Linked DNA regions of Canis lupus familiaris. The protein of the gene in region 1 interacts with the protein of each later gene in a biochemical or structural test. Links are inferred from orthologs where the notes say so. Each region holds a gene or a part of one and is shown in the gene's direction. Other genes may lie near its edges. The genes, in order: FGFR4 and FGF19.

Region 1 (4,567 bases):
GAAGAACCTAGCAGGTCCAGAATGCTTCTCTGAAGAAGTGAGCTGACCATCAAGAATCAGATGGAACCAACCAGTCCTAAAGGGGAAAGATCATTCCAGGAAGAGGGAACCATGTGTGTAAAGGCCAAGAGGGTAGAATGGGAGCAAGGAAGAATGAAGGACTTGTCTGGAGATGTGGACAGGGGCCAGGTCATGCCAAGAATCATTATGGGAAGCTAGTAGAAAGTTTTAAAGGAGTAGTAGATACATTCAGATTTGTATTTCCTTTTTTTCTTTTTTTAAGATTTTATTTTTGGGGGATCCCTGGGTGGCGCAGCGGTTTGCCACCTGCCTTTGGCCCAGGAGACCTGGGATCGAATCCCATATCAGGCTCCCGGTGCATGGAGTCTGCTTCTCCCTCTGTCTATGTCTCTGCCTCTCTCTCTCTCTGTGACTATCATAAATAAATAAAAATTTAACAACAAAAAAAAAAGATTTTATTTTTAAGGGGCGCCTGGGTGGCTCAGTTGGTTAAGTGTCTGACTTGGCTTAGGTCATGATCTCAGTGCCTGGGATCCATCCGAGTATTGCTCCCTGCTCAGTGAGAAGTCTACTTGTTCCTCTCCTTTTGCCCTTCCCCCCTCAAATAAATAAAATGTTTAAAATTTTTATTTTATATTTTTATTTTTATTTAATTTTATTTTATTTTATATTTTTTAAAGATTTTATTTATTTGAAACAGCACAGGGAGAAAGGTCAGAGGGAGAGGGAGAAACAGACTCCCCGCTAAGCAGGGAGCCCATCTTTGGGCTCTATCCCAGGACCTTCGGATCACACCTGAGCTGAAGGCAGACGCTTAACCAATTGAGCCACCCAGGCGCCCCAAAAGATTTTTTTAAGAGTTTATTTATTTGTTCATGAGAGACACAGAGAGAGGCAGAGCCAGGCAGAGGGAGAAGCAGGCTCCATGCAGGGAGCCCGATGTGGGACTCAATCCCGGGTCTCCAGGATCACGCCCTGGGCAGAACGCAGGCGCTAAACCGCTGAGCCACCCAGTGATTCCCCAAAAGATTTTATTTTTAAGTAATCTCTACACCCAACGTGGGGTTCAAACTCACAACCCCCGGATCAAAAGTCGCATGCCCTACTGACTGAGCCACTCCACTGACTGAACCAGCCAGCCAGGCGCCTCCAGATTTCAAATATCACTCTAAGTTTGTGCAGAGAATGGATGGGAGTGGGTGGGAGCAGACGGGGGTCTCCTAGCCACTGTTTGGTGATTGCACAGAAAACAAGAGTAGCCAGGTTGGGCCAGAGTCTGTAGGGGCTAGCGGGTCAGGACTGCTGGGTGTTACCCTCTAAAAGGGGTGAAGAGCAGAGGTTGGCGCAAAGAACCAGAACCTGGAAGCCTGGTCTAGGTGTGGCAAAGGAGGCGGAGTCTGATGGGGTGTGTAGCAGGCTGAGGTAGGACCCCGGGATCACGCTGGCCCAGTTGGCCATTAGGCTTTGTTGGGTTTGGGGACTGGTCTCCAGGGGGCCGGACGCCGCGTCCCCGTCGTCTCGATAGAGCGGGTCCGGAGGGGCCGGAGATGGGCGGGCGCCGGGTGGTCCTCCCCCAGCCGCGGTCGGGATGGAGCTGGTCCAGGAGGGGCGGGGCCCGGGGTGGGCGGGGCCTGGGCCTCCCGCGGCCACGCCGCTGTCGCGGGTGCATTCCTGACTCTGGCCCCGGGCGGAGGAGCGCCCCGGCTGAGTCTGCGGTCCCCGCTGGGCGCGGGTGTCGCGACTAGCCGGAGCCGGGAGCGGGGCCGAGGAGGGCCCAGGTGAGCTGGGACCCTGTGTCTGGAGCGGGACCACGGAGGCTCGAGGTGAGCGGGACCCCTTGCGGGCTCGGGCTGCGCTCCCCGCCGCCAGAGGGCGAGCGGCAGCGGGGCTCGCGGAGCTGCCCCCTCCTGGCACTGGGGACCTGGGCGTCCTCTAGGAAGGGGGGTGGAGGAGAGGGTAAATCAGTAACCCGCAGCGCACACAGGGCCTTTTGTCCCGCTCCGTCCAAAGAGCACCCTGGCCGTGGAGCTGGTTACTCATTGCCCACCGGGGCGGGGGCGGGGGCGGGGCGGCTGTCCCTGCAGCTCCCCCTCCGGACCTGCCGACTCGCACCTCCCCCCAGGGTGGCCGGGTAAGGGTGGAGAAAGAAGAGCGCGCTGGTCCCTCGGCTGCCAGGCCGTCTGCGTTCCCCGAGTAGAGATGAGGAAGCTGAGGATCCGAGAGGTGCAGTCATTTGCCCAGGGCCCCCCTGCGCTCCTCCCTCCAGCCGGAGGAGAACCCAGGACTGTCTGATTGTGTGTAGATCCTTCAGCCCCTGAGTAAGGCGGTGGGTTGGTCTGTCAGAGGCCACGTGTGATCCGACTAAGGGTTACAAGGTCCGAGCAGCCTGGGTATAGGAATAAAATCCCCAGGTCTCCCTGACCCTCTCCCAGCTCGAGGTGTAGACCCAGAGGGCTGCTTCCCCTGCAGCAGAGCAAGGTGAGGTGATTCTATGGAGGAGGGCCATGGAAACTGGGGGTGGGTGCAGGAACAGTGGCATCTAAGTCAGGTGGAGAGGAGAAATGGGGACACAGAGGTGTGTCTGCGCAAGAGAGAAGACATGCCCAGTTTTGAAAGCCAATGGCTTCAGTGCTGAAGATGCTGAAGGAGCAGACTGTACAACCGAAGATACCCACAAGAGTAGGGAGGGAGGCCTAGAATGCTGGATGAACTATAGATTGGATCCTGCAGGACATGGGTAGCCATTAAGGGCTTAAAAGCTGGGGGATATGGGGTGGTGACATGGCAGATTCTTGTGATTTCTAAAGCCCTGCAAGAGAGCAGAGCCTGGAGTGCCAAGGGAGACATTTGCAAAGGCCCAAGCCAGAGATGACTATGGCCTGCCCTGGGTCCAAGCAAGGGAGGTGGGATGGACTGGAGAAGGATTGAGGAGGCAGATGGACTGGAAGTGGAGGGAAGGGGGAAGGGGGATGGGAAGAGATGATGCCCCAGCTGCAGGGGCAACCCAGGGAAGGAGCAGGGTTGTTTGGTTTTTTGTTAAGATTTATTTTATTCATGAAAGACACAGAGAGAGAGAGAGAGAGAGAGAGAGACATAGGCAGAGGGCGAAGCAGGATGCTTGCAGAGAGCCCGATGCAGGACTCGATCCCAGATCCCGGGATCAGACCCTGAGCTGAAGGCAGACGCTCAACCGCTAAGCCACCCAGCATCCCGGGAAGGAGCAGTTTGAAGGGGTAGATGACAGCTTTGGTCAGGACAGGTGAAGTGCTCCCTGCCTCAGAACCAGAGCTGGAAATGGGGCAGTGACTGAAGAGAAAGGGTGCAGTGGGCTTCCTGGGCAAGGTAGATTCAGAGACACCAGTGTCTCCTGACTGTTAATGAGTTCCAGGTAATAGCCAGTGGTCCCCTGGGACTACATTGGTCACCTCTTCCCCTGCCCCAGCTGAGACTGTTTTGAGTGTTCCTTCTGGGGGATGGGGAGACATCTTTGGTGTCAGAAGAATAGGGTGGGTGTGTGATACCTGACAAGAACTGCACCAGAATTGGAGGTAATTGGCCAAAGGTAGACCTGGGGTGACAGTCATGGAGAGGGAAGGGAAGAACGTTCCAACATTCTGTGTTCCCAGCCCCTACATATGGTCTCTTTTATCCTCAAAGCAGTCCTTTAAAGATAGCATCCAGAGAGGAACAGGAACTTGCAAGTTGGTAAGAGTCCGGATTTGAACTTGGCTTTGTCAGACATAGAGCCCAAGTCACCTCAAATGGAGTTGTGAGGACACAAAAAACAGATGCATTCCCAAGCGTGCAATTCTGGTTCAGAATGAGGAAGAACTTCTCTTGCCATGGAATGTGCTGCTTTGTTAGTAGTGAGTGCGCTGTCACTGAAGGTATTCAAAGCTGGTCAGGAAAATGTCAGCAATGCTATAAGAAGTGTGGGTCAGATCAGATAACATCCAGATGCTAAAGTTTGGCCTTGTATTATATTTCTTTTTTTCCTTTTTTGAGGGGTGGAGTTCTTCAGCAATAAATTCATTTATTCAGCAAAAAATAAATTACGTGTGCTGAGAGTGAGCAGAAGATATGTCTCCTTTTTCTGCTTTCCTCCAAGGAAAGAATCCCCAAACTGCCCTTTCTGTGAACCTGTGCCAGAGTCTCAGCAGGACTGGAGGAGAGCAGGAAGCCCAGCCCTGCCCCCTGAAGAAGCTTTGGGCTCTGGCCACAGCTTTTAGTCTCTGCCTTGCTGCTGCGTGATGGCGGGGAGGGCAAGGCTTGGACAAGTCCTGGCCACTTCCTGTCTCAGTTTCTTCATCCACAAAATAGGAGAATGGCAATGCGAAATGTGCAGATCTATCAGAAGTTCTCCCTCCCTTTCAGGAAGGCAGTTGGTGGTAAGCCCAGCCTGGGTCCTTGTGATCAGCAGGAAGGACATGTGGCTGCTGTTGGCCCTGTTGGGGGTCCTGGTGGAGGTGCCTGGGGCTCCAGCTTTGTCCCTTGAAGCCTCTGAGGAAATAGAACTAGGTATGGCCTTTAAGGTGGTAGAGGGTGG
Region 2 (2,894 bases), on another chromosome or scaffold:
TCACAAGGGGGCTGAGGTTTCCTGCAAGGACATCAGACAGAAAGGCCTCAGAATGGCCCACTGTTACTTAGGTCTAGATGGGGAATCAATGCGCTAGTCTGGGCCCTAGATCAGATTAGGAGAGCATACCCAGTGTAGCGGTGTCTCCCAAAGTGTCAGTGGACCCCAGGGACATTTTCATGTCAATAGTTCTATGTTTGCTGTAAAGGGTGAGGGACAGAGGCACCCATGTTGCACCTCTGATTTGATGCATATTGCTCAGAACAAGGCTAAGTTTAAGAAGTGACATGATTTAGTGAGAGATATAAAAGATCCATGAAAAGTATATACAGATACTGAGTACACACATGAAATACGCACCTGAAGTATGTGTGTATATGAAGGCATATAAAACACCTATTAATATGTATAAATTTATACTTACAAAGTATATATAATGCGGTATGTAACTTTAATGTTATAATTTATTACATTTCTTTTTTTAAAAAAGATTTTATTTATTTATTCATGAGAGACAGAGAGAGAGAGAGAGAGAGAGAGACAGAGACACAGGCAGAGGGAGAAGAAGGCTCCATGCAGGGAGCCAGACATGGGACTCGATCCCTGGTCTTCAGGATCACACCTTGGGCTGCAGGCGGCGCTAAACCGCTGAGCCACCCCGGCTGCCCAATTTATTACATTTTTATATTAGCATATGCACAATGTGTTTATTAATATAATGTAATGCCTACTTTATAGAAGTACACATTTACATATATAAACACGTACGTTATGCTATGTATAACTACACACACAGATAAACACGGCTCATCATGTGGACCCAAGTGGCAACATGTAGCACAAATGCTCACCAGTGCCCGTTTTCTCTGCTGCTTCTGGAGCACCAGGGGGCTCCCACTGGTGCTCATGGTTGCCTGTTTTCTCCACAGCCTCAGTACTCCGCCGGAGACTGTACTTTCGAGGAGGAGATCCGTCCCGATGGCTACAATGTGTACTGGTCCAAGAAGCACCATCTCCCCATCTCTCTGAGTAGTGCCAAACAGAGGCAGCTCTACAAGGGCAGGGGCTTTTTGCCCCTGTCCCACTTCTTACCTATCTTGCCCGGGAGCCCAACAGAGCCCAGGGACCTGGAAGACCATGTGGAGTCTGACGGGTTTTCTGCATCCCTGGAAACAGACAGCATGGACCCTTTTGGGATCGCCACCAAAATTGGACTAGTGAAGAGTCCCAGTTTCCAAAAATAAGTGGGGCTGTGGCCTGACCTCCCACCCCTGCCCCCAGCCCTTAGAGGCCAGGACCCCAGACGTGTGGTGGGTTCTGGCTGTGCTTCTACAAATACGATCCTGGGCTCGTGTTCCAGTTAGCTTTAGGAAGAGACATCTAGAGCTTGTACATGTACAGAGTTTTCCATCGGCTATGCCAGTTCCTAGCAGATAGACTTGTATGATCATAAAATCATAAGCCCTCCACCCTGCACCTTTGCCATTGCTGGACAGTTTGCTGTGGTGCCCTGATTCTGCTTGAATACCTCCACTGGCCGGGAACTCACTACCTTTGGGAACGTTCTCTCCCATCATTTCTAGCAGGGGCAGCCAGGAAAAAAGCGGTCATTTTAAACTCACGTATAGGTGATCAGCTTTGTGAAAACTTACCAGGACAGAACTGACCGGGCATGGGCATACCTCACCAGGCTTCAGGAACTGGGAGAACCCAGAGCCCGGGAAAACTTTTAAGAACTCCCCACTACGGCTGGTTCTGGGATAGATCACCTTCATCGGACTACTTGGCAGTCTGCCTGCCCCCCCCACCTTGACCACCAGTGCCCTGCACATAGCCAACATTTGCTAAGGCTCAGGCTGATTCCCCTAAATGAATGGGCACCTACTGAGAGGGACAGGACACGAGGACAGCCCCAGCAGCCCTTGCCATCACAATGCAGGTTTCCACAGGATCCCATCTCTGGACGTGTGGGTTTCACATGATTGCCCCTCAGGACAGAACCTTCCTGGTCTCGGCGACGCTGCGGCTCTGGCGTGTTCCCTCCTTTCTTAAGCACCAAGGATTCCAAGAAGAGTGGAGCAGATGTGGCTTCTGGGGCTCCTTCCCCTTTCCTAGCCCTTCGCTGGGCACCACGTCTTCCTATGCAGCAGAACTTGGCAGCCTCCCACCTTGGGTAGACCTGCACATCTCGTTCAAAAGCCAGGAAAGTTTGGATTCGCAAGCCCGGAATCTTGCCAGTAACTTGCGGAAGCAGCGGGGAGAGAGCCCCTTCCCCCAGCACTTAGTTCAACAACGTGGTATTTATGAGTAATTTATTTTGTTTGATATGTACATCTCTCTATTTTCTTACTTTATTTATACTCCTAAGTTGTATTTATGATGTACGTGAGTTTTTTGTTTTCTACATTAAAGCACAATTTGTACCAAAAGTTGCATTTCATTATCCAATTGGATGCCCTCGAGGGAGAGCGGGAAGGGGAGGGAAGGGAAACAGACCTTGGCGCTGAGCTCAGAGGAGAGGCTTTGGGTGTTTGCTGCATTTAAAACTACACTTTCTGCCAAAGCTCACAGTCATTGCAACCACCCTCTAAGCTGAGGCTCTGGTGGGTCGAATAGTAGATTCGGTTTACCCAGTGGTGGAAGCTGCGTGGACCTGGGTGCAGGCTTCCTTCTACTACCTCTGCTAGGACTCTGCATGGTTACCTCAGCCACAGCATAGGGGTGTGTCAGGTGTAGGAACCAAACCCCAGCTAGTAGTGTCACCCTCTGCATGTTGACACTTGGGGCCACGTAGCTCTTTGCTGGGGTCAGGTGTTCCTGAGTGAGCTAGGATGATCAACAGTGACCCTGGCCTCTCCATCCACTAGATGCCAGTAGCATCCCCTCATTATGAC

Evidence for each region.
Region 2: the proteins of FGFR4 (region 1) and FGF19 form a complex in vitro, tested with the Homo sapiens proteins (2 studies listed by BioGRID and IntAct). The link is inferred for Canis lupus familiaris from reciprocal best matches to the Homo sapiens genes FGFR4 and FGF19.

The regions. Positions count from the first base shown.
Region 1 is NC_049225.1:37,138,304-37,142,870, reverse strand, and holds the start of FGFR4 (fibroblast growth factor receptor 4), read left to right. Parts: upstream 1-1,660; 5' UTR 1,661-1,844; intron 1,845-2,113; exon of another isoform or gene 2,114-2,244; intron 2,245-2,366; exon of another isoform or gene 2,367-2,499; intron 2,500-4,395; exon of another isoform or gene 4,396-4,399; 5' UTR 4,400-4,448; coding exon 4,449-4,539; intron 4,540-4,567. UniProt on the Homo sapiens protein: Tyrosine-protein kinase that acts as a cell-surface receptor for fibroblast growth factors and plays a role in the regulation of cell proliferation, differentiation and migration, and in regulation of lipid metabolism, bile acid biosynthesis, glucose uptake, vitamin D metabolism and phosphate homeostasis.
Region 2 is NC_049239.1:48,923,663-48,926,556, forward strand, and holds the end of FGF19 (fibroblast growth factor 19), read left to right. Parts: intron 1-929; coding exon 930-1,244; 3' UTR 1,245-2,384; downstream 2,385-2,894. UniProt on the Homo sapiens protein: Involved in the suppression of bile acid biosynthesis through down-regulation of CYP7A1 expression, following positive regulation of the JNK and ERK1/2 cascades. Stimulates glucose uptake in adipocytes. Activity requires the presence of KLB and FGFR4.